Caenorhabditis elegans: one gene and its partners. The protein of the gene in region 1 interacts with the protein of each later gene in a pairwise test. Each region holds a gene or a part of one and is shown in the gene's direction. Other genes may lie near its edges.

What was found.
Region 2: the proteins of nhr-5 (region 1) and ref-2 interact in a two-hybrid assay, tested with the Caenorhabditis elegans proteins (one large-scale study listed by BioGRID).
Region 3: the proteins of nhr-5 (region 1) and unc-42 interact in a two-hybrid assay, tested with the Caenorhabditis elegans proteins (one large-scale study listed by BioGRID).
Region 4: the proteins of nhr-5 (region 1) and mml-1 interact in a two-hybrid assay, tested with the Caenorhabditis elegans proteins (one large-scale study listed by BioGRID).

What each region holds. Positions count from the first base shown.
Region 1 is NC_003282.8:15,398,320-15,406,296, forward strand, and holds the start of nhr-5 (Nuclear hormone receptor family member nhr-5), read left to right. Parts: upstream 1-1,957; 5' UTR 1,958-2,013; coding exon 2,014-2,083; intron 2,084-2,131; coding exon 2,132-2,193; intron 2,194-2,203; exon of another isoform or gene 2,204-2,224; intron 2,225-2,452; exon of another isoform or gene 2,453-2,473; intron 2,474-2,650; coding exon 2,651-2,789; intron 2,790-2,837; exon of another isoform or gene 2,838-2,858; intron 2,859-2,968; exon of another isoform or gene 2,969-2,989; intron 2,990-3,012; coding exon 3,013-3,075; intron 3,076-3,150; exon of another isoform or gene 3,151-3,171; intron 3,172-3,252; exon of another isoform or gene 3,253-3,273; intron 3,274-3,478; exon of another isoform or gene 3,479-3,499; intron 3,500-3,508; coding exon 3,509-3,681; intron 3,682-3,745; coding exon 3,746-3,991; intron 3,992-4,123; exon of another isoform or gene 4,124-4,144; intron 4,145-4,843; coding exon 4,844-4,992; intron 4,993-5,022; exon of another isoform or gene 5,023-5,044; intron 5,045-5,175; exon of another isoform or gene 5,176-5,197; intron 5,198-5,554; exon of another isoform or gene 5,555-5,579; intron 5,580-5,704; exon of another isoform or gene 5,705-5,725; intron 5,726-5,741; and 18 more. UniProt on the Caenorhabditis elegans protein: Orphan nuclear receptor.
Region 2 is NC_003284.9:7,742,609-7,749,951, forward strand, and holds ref-2 (Zinc finger transcription factor ref-2), read left to right. Parts: upstream 1-1,630; coding exon 1,631-1,661; intron 1,662-3,206; coding exon 3,207-3,299; intron 3,300-3,349; coding exon 3,350-3,440; intron 3,441-3,553; coding exon 3,554-3,740; intron 3,741-4,266; coding exon 4,267-4,390; intron 4,391-4,418; exon of another isoform or gene 4,419-4,811; intron 4,812-5,557; coding exon 5,558-5,670; intron 5,671-5,721; coding exon 5,722-5,778; intron 5,779-6,570; coding exon 6,571-6,822; downstream 6,823-7,343. UniProt on the Caenorhabditis elegans protein: Transcription factor. Modulates expression of target genes by binding to regulatory elements. Required for normal cell division timing and cell positioning in anterior lineages, acting in a cell-autonomous manner.
Region 3 is NC_003283.11:9,764,026-9,771,343, reverse strand, and holds unc-42 (Homeobox protein unc-42), read left to right. Parts: upstream 1-1,987; 5' UTR 1,988-2,074; coding exon 2,075-2,125; intron 2,126-2,178; exon of another isoform or gene 2,179-2,316; intron 2,317-2,994; coding exon 2,995-3,109; intron 3,110-3,591; exon of another isoform or gene 3,592-3,664; coding exon of another isoform or gene 3,665-3,677; intron 3,678-3,813; coding exon 3,814-3,901; intron 3,902-4,311; coding exon 4,312-4,492; intron 4,493-6,198; coding exon 6,199-6,255; intron 6,256-6,305; coding exon 6,306-6,481; intron 6,482-6,527; coding exon 6,528-6,699; 3' UTR 6,700-6,810; downstream 6,811-7,318. UniProt on the Caenorhabditis elegans protein: Probable transcription factor. Required for initial outgrowth and pathfinding of axon growth cones along the ventral nerve cord (VNC).
Region 4 is NC_003281.10:7,369,611-7,376,241, reverse strand, and holds mml-1 (Protein WBSCR14 homolog), read left to right. Parts: upstream 1-1,510; 5' UTR 1,511-1,516; coding exon 1,517-1,788; intron 1,789-1,833; coding exon 1,834-1,937; exon of another isoform or gene 1,938-1,989; coding exon 1,990-2,249; intron 2,250-2,745; coding exon 2,746-2,947; intron 2,948-3,147; coding exon 3,148-3,731; intron 3,732-3,788; coding exon 3,789-4,647; intron 4,648-4,721; coding exon 4,722-4,927; intron 4,928-4,983; coding exon 4,984-5,141; intron 5,142-5,187; coding exon 5,188-5,320; coding exon of another isoform or gene 5,321-5,356; exon of another isoform or gene 5,357-5,511; coding exon 5,512-5,676; exon of another isoform or gene 5,677-5,723; coding exon 5,724-5,810; 3' UTR 5,811-6,111; downstream 6,112-6,631. UniProt on the Caenorhabditis elegans protein: Transcription factor that binds to the E box motif 5'-CACGTG-3', probably in a heterodimeric complex with mxl-2.

The sequences.
Region 1 (7,977 bases):
TATTGCTTCAACATTCTCATAAACCCTGTTACTTTTCAACGGTAATAATCTTGTCAATTTGTGTTAAAGCCGCAAAAATGTCTTTAATAATATTTCAAAAAATTGATCCAAGTTTTCCCTTTAGGACTTTAGGACTTACGGTAGAATATTTTAAAAATTGCAACAAAAAAAAAGAATATTGTTTCACAACCTCCATAAAATGTTCAGTGTTCCTTTAATCCCATTCGTATCGTTTTACTTACAATTTCCATTTTACTGAAATTAAAAATTTTCTCGTGATAAAAACGATTTCTGATATATTGCGAAGGCCAAATCGATCCAAATAATCAATCACCTCCAAACTTTGATCGTTCAACGCAAGAAGCCCGCTTAATTTGAAAAAATCGTCGTATTGGTCAAGTTTCAACTTCCCATCACTTTTCTCTCTCTCTCTCTCTCTCTCTCTCTCTCTCTCTCTCTCTCTCTCTCTCTCTCCACTAAATACTTCCAACCGCACAGTTCAAAGATAGAAGATATTTATTCCATGAGATAGTGTGCTGGACTGAAGAGAATCAGAAAATCTAGTCTTCTGATCAGAGAGAGAGAAAAAGAGACACATGACCGTACTTGACGGCGACTTGTTTGTCGGTAGAGGGGGCCTGATTCTTTTTTGTATTGATTTCTCTCTTCTGGGTTACTGATAATTCACTTTTTTGGAAGGAATTTTTGTGTTTCCGCGCAATAATGTTTTTTTTCTATATTTCGAGAATTCAACTTAGGTAATCAACAAGACGAATACTGCTGCTTACAATTTTTCCAGATCCCATAATTTTGAAACTGTAATAAAATTAACGAAAACATTTATTTTTTTTGCTAGCAGATTTATTAAGGGTTTTTGGTAAAAATCAGGAGGTTGTTAGAAATATTAACTTTAATGAACTTCAGAAAACGGTCTAGAAAATTTGATATTCCAAAATCTCATAGCATTTGCTAGTAAAAACAATTTAACAAATAAGCATCACCATTTTAATAATTACTGAAACAGCAAATTTTCAAAAAAAAATTACATAAAACTAATTTAAAGCGTTTATAATTTATAATTCAAAAATGTCTACTTTTTCTGAATGTTCTTATATTTTGAAGTTAAGTTTCTCGTTATTACAAAGTTGCTTCAATGTGAAATTTATACGCAAAAGCTTTGAATTTTGGAATAGCTTCTTCTATTTTTTCTGTTTCGAAAAAATAAAATTCGATAATTTTTTACCGAATTTTTTTTTGGTGCAGAAGAGATTTTAGAAACGGTAGAAAATGGTGGTTTTCAAGAGTTTTCAAATTTTTATTTTTAATAAAAAGTTATGTATTTTGAATATCCCAAATGTTCAGTTAATTTCAAAAAAAATTGATTGTTAAAATTCACAATTTTCTACTTTTTCTGAATGTTCTCAAATTTTAATATAATTTTTTGGAATCAATAATTGTGTCATATTCAAACTTACCAAAAATTTCTTAAAAGTGTATATAAAACTTTTCTGGAATAGCATTGCATTTTTCATCGTTTCAAAAATAAGACTTTTTGATTTTGGTTTGATTTCTAATTTTGAAAATGATTTAGAATAATTAAAATTTTGGTGAACACCCCCTATTGTCAGTAATATAAAATCGGAGAAATTATTGATTTTTTGAAACAGTAATGACACTTTTTGAATACAAATTTTATTTCTTCTGTAATATTTGTTGTTAATTATTCTATTTTTCCCATAATTATCCTTTTTTTTTTTCGAAAATCTACTTTCAAAGAATTTTTTGTAATTTCTTAATTGATTCCAGCTTATCATTTGAGATACCAAAAAAACCAGATATAGCAATTTTATAACAAGACAGGCATTAATTCACACTCTCATTGAAACAGTGGAATTTTTAAATTTTCGATTTTTTGAATCTTCTCTTCAATTTTCTTTTCATCTAATCATTTTTTTTTCAATTTCAGATAATCAATCTCATTGCAAAGTCTTTCAATTTAATTTGACATCAATTATGTCTTCTGGCGGTAACAGTTCAAATGTGAATAGAAATTCTGGGAGTAGCAATGTGATTACTTTGAATGGTATGATTCCCTGTTTGACCAAAAATTTTTAAACTTTAAAATTTTCAGATTCTGACGAAGAAACCGAGGACAGCAATTTGGGCAGCAGCTCGTCCACAAATCTTTGCAAAGTTAGTTTCAAATCTTTGCAAAGTTAGACTAGTATTGCACAAAAATTTCTAAAATTGTTCTAAACTTTTTGAAACAGTAATTTTTTTCCTATAAAAAAAGTTTCCACACTTTTAAAAGTTCCTCACTAAAATGTTCTGTGACCAATTTTTGTTTTATCGGATTACGGAATTTAGAGTCTGTTTGCATCATTGAACCACTCACAAAGGGGCACATATTTTGAAAAATCACGTGAGTTTTCGTATATGTAGTTAGGACGGGAAAGTTTTTTTCAATAAATTAATATTATTGTCTAAAGCAATTGCCATTCCTGGAGAAGGTGAAACAGAGCTTTATAAATTTTAAATTAAGTTGACAAAGATTTAAATACAAAACTTATCCTGAATCTTCGTTGCTACAAGTTGCAAATTCCCGTAAATTAAAGTAAAAAAATTATGGGGCACATCAATTACATTTCAGGTATGCGGAGCCGAAAAAGCTGCTCTTCACTACGGAGCACTGAGCTGTGTCGGATGTAAAGGCTTCTTCCGTCGGGCTCTTCTGAAGGCTGATCAACTGGAATGTGCTGCAAATGGAGAGTGTACAGTTAGTGTTTTGCGTGAGTTTGACATTGGGAATTGCGCAGTTTTTTACTTTTTTTTACTTTTTGAAAGCTATCAAAGTCATATTGACATTCTGTTTGAGTCAAAATGTATATTTTAGTGTTGAAACAGTAAAAATTATAAATTCGTTAAATAATTTTAATCATAAAACCTATGCAATTGCGCGCTTGAAACAGTTTTTCCTTTACCAAAGTCAATTTATTGTGTTTTTTCTTTCAGAGAAAACCCAATGCAGAAGCTGTAGATTCAATAAGTGCCTACGCGAAGGAATGAATCCTGCTTGTGAGTTTTATTTTCAATCCAAAATTTTTGGAATTTTTTATTTATTTCTATACGATTTTTAAATCGTGACATAAGTTCGAATATACATAAAAATAAATCGTTTTCAGTTAATACCTGAAAGTAAATTTTATTCTTGAAACAGTAGTTTTTTTTTTCAATTTTTGATTTTCCAGACTTTATACGTTTTGTGTTTTGATATCAATTCAATATTTAATTTTTCCGTTTATAATATAGCAAAAACAAAAAAAAATTATGCAGTAAAGCAGTTAAACATATTTGGAACAATATAGCAGTTTCGAATGTATTAAATACTATTGAACTCCCCTTTTTAAGACAAAAATTATTTCAAAAATTTTCAGTTTCAAGTTTCCCATAAATGTTTCAGCTTTTGTTTTAACGGTACTCATCCTTCAAATTTAATATGATATCTCAGATGTCCGCCCAAACCGAGACGCACCTCCAAAGCCACGTAAGCCGACAACTACAGTAGCCACGTGCGATCAAACTGATCGTGGTAGGACCACAAAAAGCCGCGAGGAGTGGATGAAAAAGATGACGGTTGAGATGAGAACAATATTAATGACACTGTTGAATATTGAGACAAAAGTAGGTATTTCGCGCGGGGGCCTCGGTTATCGTCGGCTGCTGACACAATTTCTATTAATTACAGGTAATGAAAGGAGATACACAACAAGAAGCATCAAAACTGTACCCGCTGAAAGGAATTGATAAGCTCAGTGATATCATTGAAACACCGATTCAATTAAAAGGAAAACGAACAGAAATGAGATATGAAGCATACAGAATGGCTGGAAATGATGAGTTATGTGCAATTGCCTATCGGAGGTTGATTGCTGCAATTGATTGGGTTGAATCGCTGTCACCACTGTTGGGACACCTAACGCCTCAGGATAAGGTAATAAATATTCTTTGCAAAGTGAGAAAATAATGGAATTTAGAAAAAATAAGTTTTAGAAAATTGAAAAAAATAAAAAAAAAATATTGCTTCACCCTATTTATTTAACTGACGTTTGTTTCTACAAAGCGCTCTCCATTCATTACTTGCTACATGGCTTTATCCTCAAATTTAGTTTTAAAGTGGATTTAATTATAATTGCTAGTTTTTCTTCAACTTTCTGGCCTGATACTAAATCTCTTTGAAAAACTTTGATTTCGCTGAAAAAAAGGTGAGAAGTTGACACAGAACACCTTTTTTCAATAGTTACTGTTTCAAAAGTCTTTAAAAAAAAATTCCAAAATTCCGAAATTCCAAAATTTTATTTTTCAGGATTTTTCTAATGTTGACTGCAAATACACTTAAAATAAAAAACTGCGTGGCGTGTACTGCAGACAACCTAATATTTAGGCCCCGCCTTTTTTTCGTCTACTCACGGGATAAAGGCGAAATTCGGGACCCCAACCAATATCATACCGCCGACATCTCACGGGTTCCGCGCGCCGCTGCGTTTAACTCGCTGTGGGCGTGGTGAGCTGTCTCCGCCCGCTGCGAGTTAAACATAGCTGCGCGTGGAACCTGTGAGATGTTGGCGGCCTGATATTGGTTGGGGTCCAAATTTTTGCCTTTTCTCCGTGAGTGGACGAGAAGAAGGCGGGGCCTAAATATTAGGTTTTCTGCAGTACACGCCACACAGCTTTTTTTCATTTTTAGTGTAACATCATTTGCACAAAAAAATTGGTTTCAAATTGTTTTCAAAAAAATTCCCAATTTTAACTTAAAAATCACGCTTAATTAATAATATTCCCTCAGATAGCACTGGTCAAATCTTCATTCGCCCCACTTATGGTCTTCAATTTTTGTGCGAGAACAGCAGAAGCTTGTCAGGATGAGAATGTTCTATGCCTTTGTAATTTTGCATATGTTCCACGGAATATATCAAAAATGTATGAGGACACATAGTGAGTTTTAGTTTTTTTGAATTATTTTCTTGGACTTTATGAGAAGTTTCAATATTAAATAGAATAGCTAGCTAGAATTCACTAACAATGTGAAACAGTAAACATTTCTTATTCATATTTGTTTATAAAGTACATATGTGTCCAATTTAGGAGCTTGACGGAAAATTAGCGAGGCAATCACAAAACCTTACAACAATTTGAGAAACATTTTTTCCTAATTTCAAACACAAAAATAATGTTAGTGTAACAGTGAAATTTTTTAAAAATCAACTAAATTGTTTTCTAGGTATTTCTTCATTTTAGAAATGAATTTCTAAAAAAATTCTTTTTTGTTTAATTGATAATGCCAATTGAGAATATTACTTGTACAAATGCTTTCACGACTTTAAATTTTCATATGTACATATGTTCTTTGCTCTTATTTAAGACTTATGACGCCACGCCACGTTGTGTGAGTTTGACAGCAAATTAACGGGGAAATCAAAAAATAATAAAATATTTTGATAATGCCATTTGAGAATAATACTTGATTTGTCTATATTTTGAAGACAATTTTCACTTATTTGGTTCGATGTTCTTGTAATTAAAGCCTCAAAAAGATCATGCACTTTTCAAATAAGTTTGAAACAGTGAACAATTTTTCAACTTGAAATGTTTATTCTCGTTCCGTTTCGGTAAACTATTATATTAGTCAGCATTTTCAAGAATTCATTACTTTTGTATTTCTTAAAATCATTTCAAAATTTCAGTCACCTCGGCAACGGACTCGTGGAACGTGCTCTAAATGAGCTTGTAGCAGTATATCGGGAATATGGTATGAGAGAAGAGGAAATTGTTTGCGTGAATGCAATGATTTGTCTGAATCCTCTGGCAAAAGATGTATCGGATTCTTTGTTTGAAAAGATTGTTGAGCTGAGAAATCGAATTGCTGATTGTCTTTTTTCAATTGTTAAGGAGGTTCGATTAAGTCCGACACCGAATGTATGTTACGGACATATACTTCTTTCATTGGCTACTGTTACAGTAAGTTCATATTTGTTTTATTTGTTTGACGTTGAACAGAGTTTTTAAGGGATTTGAAACGTTGTTTTATTTTAAAAATTGATTTTTTTAAAAATGGTAAAACTTTTTTTCCGTTTCGTGTAATGATAAGCAACAATGGGTTTCGAGTGATTTGTTCAAGGCGCTTTAAACGTTATAGGCTTTTACTGATTTGACGACGAGAAAAATATTTGTAGAGGGTTAACTCACAATTTTTTTGGAAATGTTCAACTAGAAAGAAAATGAAATTTTAAAGTATTAAAATCTTAACTTTGCTTCTACACAGTCACACATTTAAAAGTTAAAATTTTGAAAATCTACCGTTTCAACAATGTTTGATATTCATTTATTATAAATCTGAACTGTTTGTTTTTGGATTCATATTTACTTGCCTCATTCGAATTTATTCTAAACTACTTTTATAGTTCATAACTTCTCCAAATTCATGTTCCCCAATTTTTGCAGGAACTAGCAAATGCGATGAGTGAAAATCTCCAATTTGCTCAAACATTTTCAAATCAAGGAGAAATTCCACTTCTCACTGACTTATTCGGCTGTTTCACAGTTGAACCATTTTTCAAAGAAGTCGACGAGCTGGCGGCAATGAGTTTGGAAAAGGCGAAAGCTGAAAAGAAGAAGGAAATGAGTACACAAACTGATAGGTTGCCTCCTCCAAGAGCATTATTGGTCAGTTTTGATATGAATTTTGAAATTTCAAGAAATTGTAGAAATACATTGTTCTGCCAAAAAAAATGATTATTTTTTTCGATTTTTTTTTAAATTATAGTTTTCAATAATACAAAAGAGACCAGACTCGCAACACATTTTAAATTAGAACATGATTTACATTAACTTGACGAAATTGTACTTTTTTTTGAAAAAAAAAAGTTTACTGTTTCGTGGCTATCATTTAATTCAATACCAGACTCTTTCATATTTTATGCAGTTCTCTAACCGAGTAATATTTTCAGAAACGACAAGCAACTATCGATGAGGACAGCGAAGAACCTGCTCGACAGAATTTTCGACTTTTGCAGCCTCCAAACAATTTCTACATTACTGAAATGTTGGATGATTTGAGGGTGAGCTATATGTTTTTAGCATTTTTTTTTCGTTTCCTTTGTGTTTGCAAGTTCCCCATGAGACATAAAGAGTCTGAAATTTTTATGAGTTACTTATTCTTTTCACAGTTTTCAAGTGATTCAAAATACCAGTAAGTTAATATGAAATATTTTTCTTCATAAGCGACCTGCACATCATTGTGTTTTTCCATTAGTCATTAGTTTTTCAAAACTAGTTGAAACATACAATTTTTCTTGAGAATTCCAATTCCAAACTCTTCCGTTTTGTTTTTTTTTTAAATCTACTTTATTTATGATTTAGTTTTGAAAACGAATCACATAAAGTGAATAGAAGTTTATCAATTTTCAAATTTATTTTTTTAAACAATCAAATTGTTATATTTAGCTAATAAGAAATGATTTTTTTAAAACTCACCTAATGTTAATTTTTAGAAGAAAAACAAATTATTCTACATTTTTATTAAAAATTTATTATGTTCCATCTGAAAGAAGATAGAAATTAAAGCTGAAATTATATAACTGATATTTATAAACGTTTTGAAACAGTACGAAATTTGTTTTTTTTTTCAAATTCTTATTTCTCGACGATTTGTTATATGGAATAGCTTTAAAAATCAATTTTATATTAACAACTCGAGAAACTGAAAATTTTGAAACAAAAAAAATTAAATCAACTGTTTCATCTACTCTATATTTTCTTTCCACTTTAAAATTTTTTTAGTTCGCTCGTGTTGGCAGATAATTTCAATTTTCAACATTTAAATGTTTTTAACACTATTTAAATCCTTCAAACAAGAACGTTAATTTCTAAAAAAAAGTATTTCTAAAATTAAATCAACTGTTCTACTCACTCCATATTTTC
Region 2 (7,343 bases), on another chromosome or scaffold:
TCGAATATCGTTGTAACACGTTAAAAAAATTTCAAATTGATTGAGAGTCAAATAGGGACAACTTCTGAAGTTTTTGCCACTTTTTTGAAAAAACTATAGCACTGTCGCTTGTAAATCATAAGTAAATCATAAAATCCGATGGAAAAACGTTGTTTTTTATCGATGACTTCCGAACCAGTGGCAAAAACTTAATAATTACCTTTTATTGAAAGTATTTTTTAAAGTTTAATTAGTATATTTGGTCATTTTGGCATCATATGAATGATTTTAACAGTTTTCCCACTGCCGCTGCTTCACTTTCAAACAAAATCGGAGGATAATTGTTGAATTTTAAATGGAATTAAATCAAGTTTTGCAGAAAATTGCAAACGTTTTTCTTGAAAGTGTATTCTGATAATTTTCCTTGCACAAGTACTGACCTTTTTCATACAAAAAATAGTGGTTTTTAAAACAACTTTTTGTCGTTTAAAAATAATGAAAACGATTTGAAGTTAGTATGAATGAATAAAAGTTCGCAGGTGTAACAATTATTTGTTCTAACTCTAACTTTTTCATTAGGACACGATAACAAGTTGCCACGAAAATATTTTCATCATATCTTTTACAAAACAACCTTCTTCAAAATTTTGCAACCAATTCATTGCGTTGTTCTCGACGCAATTGAAAACCGATTCCATTAGAGTATCATTTAGACGAGAGTTACGCAACAAAACGATGAATTCACGAGTCTTGACTCGTTTTGCCTCAAGGTCTAGTCGATCGGTGTCGCGTGCCGCTGTCACCACTATAATAATCCATCAAATCTAACACCTTGCCGGCAACTGAACTTTCTTGCGGTCTGTCCTTCTTTGCAACAATTTTCTCACCTCATCTCCCTCACTTCATTGTATAAATGATTACAGATGAGGAGATATCATCGTTTATCGAAACACGCCTTTTCGCGCACTTTTAACTGACAAGCAGACGAAAAGTCAATAGTTTTGAATGACGGGGTACTGTAGCGGATGCGCTGTTTTCAAACCAGATTCCACTAAAAAACGTTACGAATGAGGGAATGTAGAATAGAAGTAGTGTTTTGTTTTTGAATATTACCGAACGATGAAAAACAGAAAACAGATCATGATTAATTTGACGATTGGCCTCAAAACTTTTAACTATTCATTTTTCTGGTTTTCCTACTTACCGCATTTCATTAAAACCAAAGATAGTTTGCAATTAGATCCTTATTTTATTTTCCCATGCAATACATTCACAGTGAAATTTTTCCCATTGACATTGGTGGGAACACGTGATGCCCCACTATGCTCCAAATTTGATATCGCCCACGCGTACAAATCCGAATAATTCCCAGATACAACCATGTTCCAAGTAGACAGGCATGCGTTCCCATGGCTGTCAATACGCCCATGATTCTCACGCATATGTATATAAAAACGTTGTACTAGAATCTCAAACTGCTGAAAATTTTCTGATTTTCAAGAGCATTATTTTTATGATCTGTTTTCAATTCTGACCACCAGTTGCATGACTTGACCGACTTTCCTACTTTTTTTGTAGTTTCTATTTACAACACCTATTTGAGAGCACTTGGAGCACAATACTGCAACACATGCTCTCCAATTTCCACCATATGTCGATTCCAGCCAACACTATACAAAAAGGTAATTTCTAGTTTTTTTTTAAATATTAGTCACCAATCGAGTATTAGAGAATATACGAGATGAGCTAATTATTACCTCGAGATGCGGTAGAGAAATGATTTATGAGTCTTCCGAATCAGTTGACCAAACGTTTCTGTCACCTCATTCTTGGCGTGTTTATTATATCACTGCAGTGTTGCATTGATTTTGAAACTGTAAACATTTTTAAACACATCTGCAACAAGATGATGTTGTGTACAATATTTTAATTAGTTCTAACTGAATTAACTTTTTTTAGAGGTGGAGTACCGAAATCTGACTATGCATTTTTAAACCTAAAATAACCCAAAACTACCAAATTTCGTAATGAGCCACTTTCAAAATTTCTCAAAAAAAAAGTTATGCCGGTTCAAAGTTCTGGAGAAAGACCCATTTTCAGCTAAAATCAAATTTTTTGCCACCTTTTCTGTGTCTCAACGTCTGGAACTTGATTTCTGTTTAATTATGACTCTTTAATAAAAATTGTGGTCTTTTATTAGGAATTTATTTTTTGATGTAAGTGCATTTTCGGCCGGTGTGGCACAAAAATGTAACTTCTATTTGTGCCCCACTAGCCGAAAATGTTCTTAAATCAACGAATAAACTCCCAATAAAACCCTCATTATTTTTTCTAGAACTTCGGACGTCATAACTTTTTTTTTGAGAAATTTTAAAAACGTCTCAAATTTGGTGGTTTTGGGTCATTCTGGGTCTAAAGAAGCAAAGTCTCAGATTTCGGTACTGCACCATCAATAGTTGTTTTTGTTTCATTTGGTTTATACATGTTTCTGTATATTTCAGACTCATTATTTAGAGCTTTATGCATTTTCAAATCACGAGTAAGCAAATATAAATGACTAAGTATATGATGCCTTTGTTTTTTTTAAACTCACTCATTTCAAAACGAAACAAATAAAAATAAATTTTTGGAGAAATAAACACGTTGATTTTTTTCAGTAATATTTCCTAAATTTCTGTGACAGGCCTTGAAAAATACAATAAAACTTTTATATGAACTTCAATTATTTATTGATACCCCTAGCCATTCAGAAAAAGTACACATTTAGTATTAATTATACAATTTTCAGTCTAATGACAAACCCGAAATCAAGTGTAACAGTTTTCAATTTCCATCGATAAATGTCTATTTGGCTGTCTGTGTGTCTATTTTTTCCATACTTCAACGAAAAAAACAAAATCACTGCCTCCAATATTTGTGTTTGTGACAGCCGACTCGCCCTTTCCTATTCACATCGTCGTCACTTCGCTCCGCCCATCTACCTCAGTTCTCACCAATCCGTGTGGTAGGCGTGGCCGTTACCACTAGAGACCACGCTCAACTAACTGGAAAAAACATTAGCTTACTCGACTGACTTCCTACTGTCTTGAGCTTAATATCTGGTGTCATCTTATCCATCTTTAAACTTTTTTGTATAGTTGTTTTCTTAGCAGTTACCTTTTCCTCACATGTTCTCTTTGGTTGCTTTTCTATTTATTTTAAAAACATTTACAGAACCTTATTTTCAGACAAAATGATGCATAGTGACTATTATACTCAGTCACAAGGTCCTACAGTAGAGCAGCAGCCAGAATGGCAAGCATCTGTCCAACCATATTCAGGTATGTAAATGAAAAATAAAGAAAACAATATACATTTATCTATATTACAGATCCACATGCTTACTCTCCGAGCTTCTACATGAACATGTCACAGGTGCCTCACTTTCTTCCAGCCCAAGTGGATCCCTTCATATATCCAAAGTAAGTAATTGTAGAGACTATCCCCAGTCAAATATTTGAAAATCAGTTTCAAATCATGCAACCCTTCCCCACTCCAGCTAGTATATAATTCAAGGCCAATCATCTTATTTCAGTACCCTCGGCAGTTACGGTGGTGACAAGCAAGTGCAATGTTTATGGGAGACCAATGGACAAGTGTGTATGCACGTATGTCAGAATTCAGGAGAATTGTCAACTCATATCAGTTCAAACCATATCACGCATGACAGCAAGTTTGTATGTCTTTGGAAAGGATGCGACCGAGAGTTCAAAATGTTTAAGGTATAGTTTTTCGGATAAACTCAATAAGATTAAACTCAAGTTTGGAACTTTAATATCAAGCCTTCTCTATTAGTCACCTACTTAGATGAAATACTATTAGAAAATGTAAAAATAATAATGATGTAAGTGGCTGTACTACAAATTTTGAGCAAGTTGTTTTTTTGGAATTTCCTATTCAGAATTGAATTTGTTTTTAGCTACAAAGTAACTTATTTCCCAACTATATGTAAGCATTGTTCAAGATGTATCCAACTTTTAGTAGAGGTGCAAACTAATGGAAGCGTCATCCTAATAGAGAAAATACAGGCTTCGAGTCATTCCAAATATGTCTTGCAAGTCCAACTGACCCGTGCTTCTGCACTAAACACTATCGTCTACCCTTGTTGCGTCATAAGTTTTAATTGTGTCCGATTTCTATTCTTGGGTGAACACGGTATTAAAATAGGTTCTTCCCCTGCAATTATGCTCATTTGCACCTTTGCGTAATCCTGAATAGAACTCAATACACGATATGCTTTTCTTGCAGGCCAAGTACAAACTGGTAAACCACATGCGAGTGCACACTGGAGAACGTCCGTTTTTATGCGATGTTTGCAACAAAGTGTTCGCAAGATCCGAGAATCTAAAAATCCACAAACGAATTCACTCAGGTATGTGTGATATTTAATACAAAATAACGAGAGAGTGGTTGTTGTTGTAGAAGGTGTAATAAGGGATTAGCATAGGTTAGGTATGCTCTTAATGAAATGATACATGCAATTCCAATGTCAAGTGTCAAACGCAGGTGATAGATATTCCTCTCATCACTGAGCAGCTCTTGAGTTGCCTTCCACACAAGCATTTGCTATTGAAAAAGCAATAATGATTCCGGGCAGTATGACCAGGCCCTTTTCATAATAGAACCCACACATTCATCATCATGAATTCCAAAGCAGGGAAAGGGGGTTATTCTTCGATCCGCAACTTTTGAGGATCGCAAGATTTACGATGTCAGTAACTCCTATTGTCAAGCAAATCTCGAAACGATCCTATTGCTTCGCTTTTGTGATAATCTCGCCTGTTTATTATTCACGTTCGTCGTTTACCGTAATCCGTTTATGGTGAGGGGGAGACACTGATCTCAATTGTTCCATTCTCGGGATAAGTAGAATGAAAAAAAAAATAGTAAAATCTTTGAGAAAGAAACACAATTTTCCTCAAAAAACATCTTCTAATACTTCTATAACGGATTTGTTTGACTTCCTGACACCACTAATTATGTGATGAAAACCTTTGAAAACAAGCCGATGATTATCCTTGTGATGATGCTCTAAGTTACATAATGTTTAGTCTAAAGATTTAGCTTCCGTCTTTTTGATCCAACCCGCCGCTTTCCACTTGTGAAAGATGGACAGTCCCAATGATGTAATAGTACATTTTGGATGGGAATATTAGCATTTCTGAATGTCAATGTTCAATTGCATAATTAAATTTGATTGAAATTTTGACTTGGAAAAGCCATTGATTTCTCAAAAATTACCATTTTGAGCAGGTGCAGCTGCTGCATTCATCTGATTTTTCATTTTTCATTTTTCATTATCCTAGTGCCGTAGCAAGAATATTCTAAGAATATTCGAATATGCGAATGCCTCAGCTGTCTCACGGGTTCTTGATTTATTGTATGAGTGCAGCTATCCTTTTGAACTTTAGCACCATATCTAGCACCTGCTAGTATTCCCAACAGAAAACTTATCTCTATAGTGAGACTGGAACAATTTGTAGCACCTGTACGAGTGTACTTCAGCAGCCATTATGATGTGAGTAATTTGTTATTTCAGGAGAGAAACCATTCCAATGCACACATAATGGATGCACAAAACTGTTCGCCAACTCTTCAGATCGCAAGAAGCATATGCATGTACATTCTAGTCACAAACCTTATAGTTGTATGGTAGGTCTAGATAAACCCCAGTTTGTTATTTAAAAAAACTGTTTTTTTCAGTACCCAGATTGTGGAAAAACGTACACGCATCCAAGCTCGTTGCGCAAACACACCAAGGTAAGTCGTGTGCCTATTGTCTCCGGTTTGAGAGGATTACATGAGATGAGGGAGAAAGATGGTATAGATGAGCAGGGTTCACACCTCTCATCGTGTCGATTTTTGGAGAGATGTAGTAAATCCTTGTCAAATTTAGGTACCCAAATTCTTGCTGAATCTTATGCGGTATGCAAGTGCTATATTCAATTTATCAAATTTTGATAATTGGGCTAAACTTCTCTTTTTTTAATTTGAAATACCATAAATGTTATTGACAAATGTTTAATTTATGCATTTTGAATTTTGGCCAACCTTCTTTTAGAACTATCAACATTTAGAAATTTTTCTTCGCTAATAATTTTTTGATACAAATTTTATCAGGGTATTTTCCCCATTTTTTCAGCTTGTTGCAAAAAAGTTTTTTAAAACAAGCTAGTTTTATCTCACATTTTCATTTTGTAGAATCTTAGCGGATTACTGTCTTTCCTCATTAATCTTATTATGAAAAAAAAAACAGTATGAAAATTTGATAATTTGTTTTGAAAAGAAACTAGTTCTTTTCCACATACACACTCTTAGTCACCGCGCCTAGCACTTCTTACCGAACCGTGCGCGAATTTGATTTGCATTTATGGCGTTTCAAATGAGACATTCCTTCATCCACCCATTCTATTCAAAGAGAAAAGTAGACAAAAAAAGAGATGAGATGATTTTACAGTACTCAATTCTCTAGATTCAAACTTGCCTGTTTATTTTATTAAATTGCAACCACATAAAAAACTAAAACAAAACGAAACATTCTAAAATTTCCAGGTTCATGAAAACGAAAAAAAGAGTCAATTGTCTCCGGAACATGACGAGAGTAGCGATTCGGGAAATGCGTCAATCGGAACACCAACCACCGACGAGAGCTTGACCTTCTCTCCTGAAAACATTAAACGGGATCAACATCTTCATACGATGCACACGTTTATGGATCGACCCAATCCTTTTATGCAAATGTATCAGAACCAGTTCTCCAATCCTACATACCATATGTTTATGGCAAAACCTGATTCCTACTGAGCACAAATATGCAGAAAATACAGTTTATAGCTTTATCGATTCCTTAACTTTTCTTTACTCATCACCCCAACCATGATCGTGTCGTGCAATTTCAGAGAACATCCCTCATATACCTCCCGTGATTTGAATTTTAATGTTCCTTTTTCTCCGAAGCCTCCTTCTAGCTCATTGTATCTATTTCCGGGTACACTGCTCATTTTGTTCAACATTTCTTGCTCTGCTTCAACATCCGCCTATTATCTTTTCAATAGGTACTGCTTTTGTTGAATTCTTTCTTGACACCTCCAATAAGCAAAACGACGTCGGTTTCTCTAATTGCTCCATTCTCTCTCGGATGTGCGTTTTCGTTTGAAAATTGTTGGCATGTTGCGGGATTGTCTTTTCTTTCACTTTCCAATGTGAACTGATATATATTGATGGGGTTAAACTTGAAAACTGACATATTTATATTTGCCTTCCCTACATTGCGTGGTATTTCATTCTGTATTATCACTTACGAACTTGTTCATATTTTTATTGTT
Region 3 (7,318 bases), on another chromosome or scaffold:
CTGTCGAGTATATGAGCGATGCTTACTGAAAAAAATAGAACCGTATCTTAGAGAAATCAATTTTTGGAATGAGAACCAGCATGGGTTCAGACCTACAAAATCAACGATCTCTAATCTGATGAATAGTTTGAATGACTGGACAAGCAACCTAGATCTGGGAGCCCAAATTGACGTCATATTTAGATTACAGCAAGGCATTTGACAGAATTCCCCACGACATTCTCCTCAATAAACTGATACGCCTGGGACTGAATAAACATATCATAGTCTGGATCAATAGTTTTCTAATAGAAAGGACATTTAGAGTTAAAATAGGAAATACACTATCTACTGTAAAAAACGCTAAATGTGGGGTTCCGCAAGGCGCTGTACTCTCACCAGTTCTTTTTGGAATTTACGTTAATGAGATCCCAACAATACTGCCCGCAAATGTTAAAGTGCAGCAGTTTGCAGATGACACCAAGCTGTATGTACACACGCCAAAAGGCGACCAGATTAATAGTCTGCAAGAAGCAATAGACAGAGTAGCAAATTGGTCCGTCAGTAACAAATTGGCTCTTAATGAACAAAAAAACCGTCCATCTCACGATAGGGAAAAAACGCCAAAATTTCACTTATAAGATAAACGGCCAGGATATCAAAAAAGAGTCAACGACACGTGACTTAGGTTTTATGATCTCTCATAATCTGGATTTTAGTGAACACTGGAAAAAGGCTATTAATTCCTCGAAATTTCAAATGTCACAAATTTTTAACCATTATAACAGTAACAAACCAAAGCTGATGATCCTATTATATAAAACATTTATTGTGCTTTTGCTAGAGTACGGAACCGTTATAAGTAGCCCACCAAAGCAGTCAGATATAGGAGCCATCGAGGCAGTTCAAAATTCGTTCACAAGGCGTCTATATAGTAGGACTGTAGGCAAATACGTCTCAATAAGTGATCCGGAATATAAAACCTCGACAGAAAGAAATGAATTATTTGGGCTCACACCGCTGCAAGGACGACGTCTGACAACCGATAAAAAAATGATTTTGAAAATGTTAAACGGTAAAATAGATCTGAAAGTACCTGAATTTTTTACCTTCTCGGACAACACTAGAACGCGTTGTAAAAGAAAGTTCTCTTGGAGCAGATGTAAATTTAAAATTAGGAAACATTTCTTCGTTAACAGAACATTAAGCCAACCGTCATTCCTCAAATTTTTATCTAATTTAAACAAGGATAACTAAGTTAGGAAACGAACGACATCTACTCTTGATCAATAACATTCATTCATTACTATCCTATGATATCTCCTGTTTTTTTATCCTACTCCTTCTCATGCTCTTTTTCTACGCCTCAGGTTCTTTCACTTTGCCCATAATCTCCCAGTCCACCCTCCGACATGAATCTTTGTATGTATCATCTTTTTTCTTTTCACGCTTCTTCAAGAACGTAATAAATTATTATTATTGTTATTATTAAATGACTACAAACATTCTGATTACATTTCCCTTTTTTTAAACATATCGCAGCATTTCTACGTTTAAATAATTCAATTAATTATTTTTAGCGTAACTGAGTATTTTAGTTTAACCACAAATTAAATCCCCTTTCAAATCGAACCCACAATTTTTCCAACCCAATTTGGATTTAGTCCGTGTGTTCGTGTGGGGTTCGCCAGTTGAACTGCTTCTCTAATTGCGATTATCGCCACCCGGCTTCAGAGTCCGTCCAAACTCGATTATAGCTTTCGCTCTCCACCGATCACTGAATTCGTTGCCGTTAAGTGTAGAAGCTCAGTTGAAGAATAAGAAGACGGAAAGAAGAAGCTGTCAAATAATCTAATTTACTTGACTCTCTCAAACCAATCCAAATCAAAAAGAAGGCGTGGCTACCTAGCTCTTCTGGCGGAAAGATGGGTACGGTGGTTGGGGCCGGTGGTGAAGGAGGAGGAGCAGCCGGAGGCGGACGGCGACCAGTCAGCTGCCCCTCTCTTCAGAAGCAACCCTGTCCGCCTCCACGACGACGTCGACAACGACTTCGGTCACCCCTCACTTTCCACATTTCTCCGCTTTCACTCACACAATGAGCGACAATCTGCTGAACGGTGCGAACGGAGCATCAACTGTCTCACAGGTAATTTGCTAACTAATTCTAGTCTCCGAGGCCCTCGACGCAAACGAAATAAACAGTAATACGATTTGGTGGCGCCGTCGGTCGTCGCCGAGAGCTCCATAATTAACTTTTCTGGCGCGCACAATATTCTTCGTCTCCTGAAGACGTTGTCGTTTTTCGGAAGACGACTGGGAGGAGTCCAAGTGTGTGTGTGTCTTCCCCTCATAAATTCATTATGGAAATTTGATTGTTAGATGCTCTCACGATCAGTGGCACACACACACACAAACCTCCTCAGTTGTCTTCCGGAGCTGGTATCGATAGCCTTCCAACTTTTCTCGCCTCCAATTTCCCTAGAATTATTGTTCAGCTCGCCATTTTAATTGATGTTAAAATCAAAATCACAGACTACCGTACCATGGACATCAATAATTTAATTCACAAGAAATAACTTTAGACATGGGTTTGAAAAAACTAAAAGTCCCACCACAAACACCGCTAAAGATCTGATCTTGGTGTGTTCAATCCTAAAGAAGCTAATGTTGGACGGGGTTCTAGATAATGATCATACAATACCTCGACACTGATGTCTGATTTTTTAGTCACAAAAAAGTTAAAAAACCAACTGTATTAGTTTATATTAGTTTGTAAGTGGAACCGAACATTTTGAAAAATAGATCTTAAGCCGGTAGAATCTCTGCTGAAAAACTGTTAAGTCACTGAATTTTTATTAGTCTTCTTGGCGTTATGTTTTACTTTAAAGTTCTAGTGTTACTGTGGATTTCCTTATTACCGTCCTTCCATTAATCGATTCCAACAGATTCCTCAATTCACCTTACATTAGTATAAAAACGTTCTACTGGAACCTACATCATGATCTATATTTTCAGTTCCAAGAAAAAGTGAAAGATCTTGGAGTATCTCTTCACGATTTCACTGCCTACTATCCGAGCTCTTTGGATACAGTCTCGGCAAGTCTTCGTCCAATTTCGGATCCATCATCAGGTTAGTCTCTACATTCCATCTTCTTTTTTTCTACACTGGTAGGGAGGAGCTTCGCTTTAGCAAGGCGAACAAAATTACATCAGAATATATCAGATTTGCGGAATCATATTTGATGTCTCTCCTTCGTCGTCCGCATGCCAGTTCATTCCTTGCATCAGTGCCTTCTAGGTTGAGCAAAAGGTCCTTCTGACCCTGAGCTTCTCTTATTATTTCGTTTGATATTCTCACCTATCCCAAGATTCAGCAAAAACCACTTCAAGTGTTTTCTTTATTAGTGTTGCGCAATAGCTTCCGCCAAAGGTATCATGCTGTGTTAGTACAACTGATACCCTTACCATGTCCCCCCGCCTTGCTCTTCCCCTCCTCAATGGTACTTCACATCTCTGGAGCATGTGCCACCGAGCCAATTATGACGCCTGTTGCCAGATGCTCACTCTTATCCATCCGTTCTATTGTATCCACTAGTCTTGACTTTGTGCGCGAAGTGTCTCTCTTCTTATTTACTATTTTAGTACTTGTGTGAGCAGATTTAGGAATTAACAACTCAATCTAACAATGTATTATTATGGTAAGACAATGTAGAGAAGGGTGTCATATTTCTTTGATTATTCCTTGCAATTCACACTAAGAATTTCGAAATTCTGCATTCCTCCGAACATCTGCCCACTTTCCATTTTTAAGCCTTAAAACTGGTGATGTTGCAGATGGCGCCTTCAAAAAGATTAAAACCGAAGGACTCGGTGGCTCGGTATTTGGATCTTCGATTGCTGGGGTCACGAACACGCCTGCAAGGTGAGTATTCTTAATATTTTGGAAGATAGGGGTACGGTAGATGTAGAAGGGATTTGATGTATGTAGGTATTCAATGTCAAAATAAGGCAGTTATCTAGATTTCATTTATTGAAACTACTCCAAAAACCCAGTTTTTTAAAAGTAAATTTGGCTATTTACCAAACCCTTGACAAAATATGTTTGCGTTTATTATTTTTTTGGCCACTATTTGGCCAAATTTAAAAATTTAGAAAGCCAAATATAATTATACAACTTGAAAGAGCCAAAATTTGACTTGTGCCGCCTATATTTTCATATCTTCAATTTCTATCAATAGTCAAGTTAATTTTCAACAAACTCTACCGTACTTCTCACGTATTTTCTTGCCTTCCCCCACCCACCTAGTGCTCCACGGCCTTTCTTAATTGCAGGCTGTGTAGCCTAGAACGGCCCGAATCAGAGCGTCTCAATTCCAGGCGGAGACATCGGACGACATTCACTCAGGAACAACTTCAGGAGCTTGATGCTGCATTCCAAAAGAGTCACTATCCGGATATCTACGTTCGAGAGGAATTGGCAAGGATCACCAAGTTGAATGAAGCTCGAATACAGGTGAGCTTCGAAATTAAACTGTATGCTCAATTTGTGAGACATGTGCTCTAATTTGTTGTTTCTTTCTCTTCTTCATATTCTTTATCTTCTTCCTCACTTCTTATTGGTATTCATCTCGCGTTAATTGCTGCCTTTGGATAGTTGTCTACCACCTCCTGGTCACCTACTGTGCGCTAAATCCACCACGCACCATCACACATCTGGTAGGGATTAGATATTGAGCTTGTGAAGCTGAGAAGAACAAATTGAGACAAAAAAGTCAATCTGCCATAATAGGGAACTTATACAACTTTTAAAATTAAAAATTAACATAGATGTACAGAAATAATATATAATTGATTAAAAACCATCTTGAAAAGTTTGATGAAGGAATTTCTTTGAAGTATCCGTTTGTAGAGAAAAGAATGCACACATATTTGGTAAACGACAATGTTCAGCCGGTAATAGTTTTTTGGATTGTTCAACTAAATTGAATATAATTTTCGAATTAATCTGATTTTTTTCTGCGTTTCGAGCTTTATTTCTTAGTGCTGAAAAGATGGGTTATCGTTCCTAAATTGACGGTTTTGTGGAATTACCAATAATGTTTTCAGCACATCTTTGACTTCAAATAAGCTTCTATTTTTTGGTGATTAAGCTTTCAGTTCTGACTGTTTTCTTTGCGATCTACTGATGTAAGTTATCTTTTGCTATTTATAAAGTTCTCTGAACTTTTTTCTATTTATAGAGTTCTCTGAACTTTCTAATAAAACAAATAAAACTTTGCCTAGATTCAATGATACATGCTTAAAACTTCTCACCCTTTCTGATTTTTTTCATTGTCTACCTACTTCCATATCCGTCATACGGTATCCTTTTTTTTTAAATATTCATAATAATAATAATAACAACTCAAAACTAGTGCCTTTGAATCTCTAAAACTCTTGTTCAAAAGAAACTCTCTATCACCAGTCTACCGTAACCCATCGTCTTCTTCTCTTCCAACATCGGCGTCTTTGTTAGGAGGCAAGCAAATTGAATTATGCTCTGCCTTTGCCGCTTTCTCAATATCCTTCCTCACCACAGCTTTTCCCTTATTCTTGAGCAGTCTATCAACATTTAGAAATACAGAAAAAGGAAATGAAGGGACTTGATAAAAAGAAAAGAGAGTGTAGCGAGGAACAGAAAAGGAAAGGAAGGATTAAAGATCCGGAGACAGTAATACTTTATGACGTGACTTTTAAAAACTTTCTTTGGTTGGATTGTGTGGGTATTAAGATACTTTTGAACTTTGTAGAATCTGAAATAAATACTCCAATTATTTGTTTACATACAATCTTGTAGAATTTGGTTGTCGTATATACCCAACAGTATACATTATTTTAATACTAAATTGCGTTTTTAATTAATTACTAAATTGCGCCAAAATCACATTTATTCATTTTTCCCTGATAATTTTAAATACAATGTTTAACGTAGAATTATAAATTTAAATACATTTCTGACTCCAATTCGTAAAATTAAAAAAACAATGACACACTAATGTATTACTAGATATCTTGTTTCTAGATGTAAGGATTTCAGGATTACTGTAGCGTATTCACACTTCCTTTACTTATTGCGTAACAGTTTTGCCACCTGGCTGTCTCTACTCCATCCCTCTAGATCTGACTTGATCATACTCATACTCCCCACTAATTTCTCGAGTAATCCAATTTTGTTTGCAGGTGTGGTTCCAAAATCGGCGAGCAAAACATCGGAAGCATGAAAAACAATTGAATAAGGTAGGAAGATGACGAATATATTCTGAATTCATCAAAAAAGTTATTTACAGGCAATCAATCCCCCGCACTCATTCCTATCCAATCCAGCGAATACTTTGATGCGACAAGGAATGTACCCAGCTGCATTGAATCGTGACGGTTTTTGGTATCAATCATATCAACGACCAATGCCATACCCAACAGCTTCTCCTTCATATTCCAACTCGTTCACTAATCCCATTGCAAAGTTTGTTCGTCTTTTTACTGTGGGATAAATATTTCGTTAATTTCAGTTTCGGTCATTCCATCACCTCTTTCCAAGCTGACGACGAGTTCTACCAGAAAAGTTTGGCACTTCGAATGACGACGACACCATCGGCCGCTACAGCTGCTACCTCACTTGCTAATATTAACTACCAGCAGACACAACCATCTGAAGCTAGTACCAACCCTCCTTCAATCTAGTCATTAACATTACAACCAGACATTTCTAATCTCCAAAGTTAACAGAAAATCCAATAATTTATGATTGCGTGTGAAATCAATTGAACAAATAATAAAGAGATCTCACTGATAGACTAATGTTGGTACGTACATTTACAAAAAGACAACGGTTTCCAATAAAAATGTTGAGAAATATCACAAAGGAGTGGGAAGTCTACGAAATGGAATGTTTAACGCGACTGATGATAAATACAATCTTACAAAACTTATCTGCCTTCTTCCTGTATTAAATATCCGGATCCTTTCCCGTTCCGCGTGTCACAAAATCACTTCTATTTGGTTTTGTCTTGTTAGAGAAATTTTGAGTAAACACCAAAAAAAAATGATTTTCGTATTTTATGTGGTTACCAGCCGCTGACCGCGCCTACGGCGCGGCCAACTCGTTCTCAGCACACTGCATTCAGTAGCGTACTCGTTCTCAGCACACTGCATTCAGTAGTTCTGGTATTGTTATCACAAAACATAATAAATAAAAATGACATGAACCGCCCATTTTAAAAGGAATTTTTTTGTTTCCATTAGGGAACAAGATAAATTCTTAATAGAATTTGGTGGCGGTGAATCGTTGTGGACAATCTTA
Region 4 (6,631 bases), on another chromosome or scaffold:
ACATATTAGGGGCATAGGTTAACGTTTATTTATTTCTAAGTTTCAGAACCCTTTTCTAATTTTCTTTTTACTTCTGAATTATGATTTTCTGTTTGTTAATATGACTAGGTTCCGGAAATTCGGCAAGTGCCGAACGTAATATTTTTTTACCAAAAAAACATTTGCTACATTAGAAATTAGTTTTTTGTTCTTTTTTTGAGTTGTTTCTATAAAATATTCCAATTATTTCGGATATATTATCGAATTGTCAAAATTGTCTGATTGCCTGCCAGGTACGGTATATAATGCGCGTACGATATAATGTACTGGTTGTGCAGGTGCGAATCAAGATAGTTTTACGTAGTTGAGAGAATCATGGTTCTTATTAATACAACCTACTGTCTATTTTTGTTGAGAAAAATTGCAAACTGAAACTATAATTGTTTTGATGTAAAACAAAATAGTCATGAAATCTGTGAAAATATACGTCCTCCCGGGAGCGACCCCCGCTGCTTGTTATCATTATTATCAGATAATGGCCATTCTGTTTGTGTTATCAATCGTATTCTTCCATCCATTCTCCCTCCGTTTCGTCGTTTTCTTTTCACAAATATGTCTCGTTTTCTCCCCCTATTTCACACCAACACTGTATATCGTTGTGACTGTCGCTGGTCGACGATTCGATATATGATTTTTCCTATCTTTTTCGTCCCCCATCCTCTCCGATGTTGGTTCTCTGAAACCCTGTATCGATTGACTTTTGTCCCTGTCACACCCACAAACTGTTCAATACTATCTAGGTCGTACAAAGTTGAATTCAAATCGGATTATCGTACTCTAAGTAGTTTTGCCAAAACGCATAATTTTGTTTAACTGAACTGACCAGTGTCAAAACTTTTTGCGGGGACAAGTTTCAAAAATATTTTTCCATATTTAAAATAAATAAATAAATAAACTCGACTTAATGAAATGCACCCTATCTGTTTTAATTTTCGCACCTGTAAAAAAAACTTCTGAAATAGCTTTCTAATATCTTAAATAAAATTTTGCAATTCCATAAATAGTGAACCTATCTTTAACGCCTTTTGCAGCGGTTTTCCAAAACAATGCACAAAAAAAATAATTCAACAACAAGAGACCTAGACACTCTTTTAGTCGGTCACGTGTTGTAACAACTGATCCTCCATCGCTCTCCCCGTCCGTCCGTCCTTCGTCGTTTCTTCCTTGCTTATTGTCATCGCTCTCACACACAATTTTCCCACATTTCTCCACTTCCTTTTTTCCTAAAAAAGTTCCTCAGGGCCAAGCTATAAGTTTTTGCAAAGTTTACGAAAATGTGTAGATTTTAGTTGAGCTCACACCTTGAAGCACATAATTCTGAAAATTTGGCAATATGGGATTTTTGTTCGTGATTGGATGAATTGTAATTCCAAATAATCAATTGTACATTGTTACCTAGTAAATTTACTTTCATCCTCTATAATTCTTCATTTCACTGTTTCTACTTTTCAAAAGATTTCAATATTTTCAGACAAAAATGTCGCGCGGGCAGATTATACACAGTGGGCACTTTATGTGTTCGAATCCCCACGACGATCTAGTACAAGATGAAGATGAAGAAGATGTTGAAGTGGATGTAGTTGAAGATGATGATAAATCAATGGAAGCATCATCATCAGTTCATCATAAAAATAAGGCTCTCGACGAGAAACCGGTGACGTTTTACAAGTTTGGAGTTGGTAAAACACAGTCGATCGCGATTGATGTATCACTGAATAAGTTGAACAAATGTATCAAAGTTGCTTATAAGTAAGTTTATCTTCAATAAAAATTGATGGCATTGTTAGTTTGTAGCAAAATGACAACTCCAAAATGGAAGGATTTCAAAGGATTACGTCTTCATTGGAAGCAGAGGGTACGATTGAATAATGTTATTTGGAGAGCATATTATATTGAATGTAAGTTCCCTCTTTAATTTTATCAGCTATTGTTCAAAATCTTGTCTTACAGTTCGAAAAAAGCAGCCAGAAAAGCCGAAAAAACCATTCTGCTACTTTGCCGTACCCGACGATGACACAACACATCAAAAAATCGAGGGATCGATTGTCGAAGGAATGTATTGGAAAAGAAAAATGGAAGGTGTGTGTGCACAATATAAACGATGGAGAATTCGTTCGAAACATAATTTGGTCACGGATAAGGGAGGAATGGTGGCGACGTGCTCTTCGACAAGCGTCAGCAGTATGACGGGAGAATTGAAACGGAAAAGGGTATGATTTTTCTCGAAGCTTTTTTATACACCAAATGAAAGTGGAAGATTACCCAGACGCGAAACCTTTCGAGTTTTGCGTCAAAACTACGGTACATGGTCTCGACACGACAAATTCTTGTTTAATACATTAAGGTGTGTGCCTTCAAAGAGTACTGTAATTTCAAACTCTTGTTGCTGCATAATCGTCTGTTTCTAGTAGCGTCGGCAGATATTTGGTTTTATACAATCGAAAAAAAAACAATTTTTTCGTGTTCATTTTTTCAAAAAAAAAATCACTGCATTTTATAAAAAATTAGTTCCACTTTGAAGAAATTCCACACAATAATCTTCTATTTTCTGTAATTTCTTTTTTTTATATTTGAAAAATTAATTTAAACTTCGAAATATTTAAATGAAAAAAGGAAAAAGCGACAAGAAACATCCGAAAACAGACGAAATCGAAACAAAAAATTAGAAACAAAATTTTAATAAATATCGAAGACATTTTTTTAAAGAAACACACCGTTCCAAAAGAAACAATTGAAAGCAAGTTGCGAAGCTATGAGCCACCTGTAAAACTTCAAAGAAGTCAGACGCCAAAACACACGATTTCTGATGAATTTGCATGGGATTTTGATGACTTGGATAATGTTTTCACTGATGATTTTCTAAATTCTCTGAGTGAACCTTACATGTTTCCGGATCCAAGAGATGTTTGTGAGTTTTTTATTTTATTTTTAACTTTTGATTATGAAAGAAACTAAACATATTATGTTAGTTTTATTTGAATTTTGTAGCAGTTTAGAAACTATTTCATTTGATGGAACAAAATATGTGTTAAAATATTTTCAGTAAATCTATTAATCTTTATAAATACTTCATGCTTTATATGTCTAATCGTCAAAAACTTGTTTCAGATAGTGGAAATAACGCTGATATCATGCAGCCAGGACTCCTCCCACTACAGCCAACAATCGAGGATATCATGATGTCATTAGGCGACGATATGCCAGATTCTCCGCCATTCCACAATGATCGGGACACAATGAGAACTCCGACGAATGATCAGCCATCAATATCAGCACAACAAATTCCTCAAATGAGAAGATCTGCTTCATCTTCGGCGTCTTTGCATCAAATGCAAGTTGCTCAGGCTCAGGCTCAATCCATATCTCAAATATCTCAACCATCTCAACAACTGCAACATCAAATTCAAATTCAACAACCTGTTGCGGCTCGTCCACATGAGTTTATGGCTTCGTCGATTATGATGGACTATCGATTAATGCCGACACGACAATCATCTGCAATTACTTCACAAATGCTTATGCTCAGTCAATCCGCATCGACATTGTCTTCACAACCACAGTATGCCACATCAACACACTATAGCACGAATAACTCATTTCTCCCAATTCGAAATACAATGACAAACCAACATCATTTGGGCCATACGAGTCAGCATTCACCTTGGAATAAGCAACAACAAAGTAACTTCTTGGTTAGTTTGAAAAATGCATGAACATTTAGACAGTTTCTCGAAATTCAATAACTTCAGGTTTCCCTACCACATCAATCCCACGTCGAACGAATTCTGAATAATCAACCACCACTTGTTCCGCCTCCATCCAGATCTAATTTGCTGCCGACTCAAAATGATCCATATCTTCCTCAATTTCTTCAATCCACTCAACCTACTCCACAACCCCAATCTCATGATCCAATGATGGCTCCATCGAGATCATGGTGGCTGGATAGTCCGTTGACTGCAAGTGTTCAATCACCATTATCAGTAGCAACACCATTGCCTCTTGCCAATCAAACGGGACCGCAGACTCCATTGGGTCAGCTTATTGGGAGTGCGGACAACGGTTTTTTATTCGGTGGAAATAATACACCGGGTGGATTTAAAATGAGTGGGACTACCAGTGGTGTTCCAACTTTATCACAAAGATTAGAACAACCTCCAATTAGTCGAACTTCAACAATTTTTGGAAATGTCGAGAATAAACCTGAAAGAATATTCACTTCATTAACATCACAGAATACACCAACACCATCTCCTCTGGATATTTCTAGCCTTTCTCGCTTACGCACATCATCTCTCAATGAATCATGGAAAATGAGTCATATAGTAGAAGGATCGCCTACTTATCAAGCTTTTGCTGCGTCGGTTACCACGAAGCCGTCAATATTAGAAAGTCCTTCAACATCTGGAGATATTAGTGGTCCCGCGTCAGTTCCAGTACAAGCTTCACAGCATCCACCGAAGATCATCACACCACCGTCGGCGTCGTCAAAACGAAAAGAGCAAGAAGCAGCGATGGCGCCATTAGTGAACAGGCAGCAGTCTTGTGATGTCAATCTACTCAATGGAAAAATGGCTGTGAAGGTCGAGGAGAAATCCGGAAGGCATTGTAAGCATATTTTTTAATGTTTCTTCACCAAAGTTATGTTATCTCCAACTGAGTTTAAATTAAGTAAATTTCAGACTTACCAACCACACCCACCGAATTGAAGGAAGTAACAAAAGAAGAACCACTGTTGATGAGTGCACCATCAAGTGTCAAATCAATGCGACGACAAGCTCCAGATTCCACATTGCACCCAGAAGAACGCAAAAGAATATTGCATTTACACGCTGAGCAAAACCGAAGAAGTGCACTGAAAGATGGATTCGACCAGCTTATGGATATTGTAAGTTTTGGTTTTTCTCATGAAATCTCCAATTCAAAATTTTATTTTTTTTCCAGATACCCGATTTGTATTCTGGCGGTGTTAAGCCAACGAATGCTGTCGTTCTAGCCAAGTCAGCGGATCATATTCGAAGATTGCAGGCCGAAAAATGGGATAAAACACAGAAGATCGACGAGGCCAAAGCGAAAATCGAAAAACTGAATCAGAAAATAACGTAAGATAGTTTTTTGTTGAAATATTTTAAAACTGTATCAATTCAGATCCTTACAATCAAATCTTCCCCAATCGAGTGCACCATCCAGTTCATCACAGGTGGACTCGAAAACTTCACTGGAAACATTTTTCGATAGATATGTCAAAGAAGGCGCGAAAAAGAATTGGAGATTTTGGGTGGTAAGTTATCTAGCAGAAAAGTTGAAATTTTTTTAAAATCTATTGCTGAAAAATCGAAATATTTCTCCACCAAGGTGCACATCCTTTTGGCACTAAAAAAGAATTTATCACGTCGAGGCCCGTATTTTTGACAAAGCAACCGCAAAAATTTTGAATTACTATTGAGACAAATTAATACAACTTCATAATAGATGTCCCAAATGCTGAAACCAATCTGTGTCACACAAACAAACTCTTTCGCATCGTCTGTAGCAGGAGACTCGTCGTCAAGAAATGAAGTAGCCGCCTCGTGTTCTGATTGGCTGAACAAAAATTGGAAAGCCACAGAACTTCGGCCGCTTGCGAGTACACTTTTGGTAAATATAATATAGATACTCATTAATAATCAATTTATAAATTTCAGGTCTCTCTTGCAACCAACTCGAGCATTCTCGCCGAGCCGGACACTCTTCCCGATTATGTCATGCAACAACTCAAAAATCCATTTTGAACTGCTCATTATAGAATCATGTTTATTGTTTTTAACATACGATTTTTCTGCGTAGATTTGTTTAGATTTTTTGAAATATCTCAGTCCCTTTCATGTTGCCATAACTTTTTATCCAGGATTCTAATCATTTAGATTCAATCACGGGTTTTTTTCCCACTAGCAGCCACCACAGAAACAGCCCTCGTTTATATGTTCGGGTTACCTTTATATTACAGTTTGCTCAATTTCTCATGTATTAAATGTACATTGTCTCTACCTCTTCTGGTAATTTTAAAAAGAAAGAATTATACATTTTAAATTTATCACTCTCGACGGTCTTCATTTTCAAACACATCGAATAATACCGAAGAAAAAATTTTGTAGCAATAGAAAGGAAATTTACAAAAAAAAATCACGAAAAAAGTTGATTCGAAACAACCTTCTTCCTTTAAAAAGTAAAAATTAATTAGAACTTTACTAAATTTATTTTTAAAAAAATTAATGAACGTTTTTCAAAATACAAATAAGTGTCTGAAGATTACTGTAGTTTCTAGCTCTTTGCTGCATTGGTTTTCTTCATTTTTTATAGTTTTTTTTTCGTTTCTTCGCACCTTTTTTGGAAAATCTGAACTTAAGAATAATGAAAGGTGCAAAAATGTTGTGGCAACATAAAATCCAAGAAAATTTTGAAACAATGTGGATCTAGGAACTACAGTACACCATAAAGCGTAAAAAATTGGAGTCTACATTTCAATTTCAAAAGTTTTGACTCGAAATAAAAAAAAATGTCCAAAACGTTTCTAAAAGTTTGTATTATGATATTTAGTTATTTAAACATCATA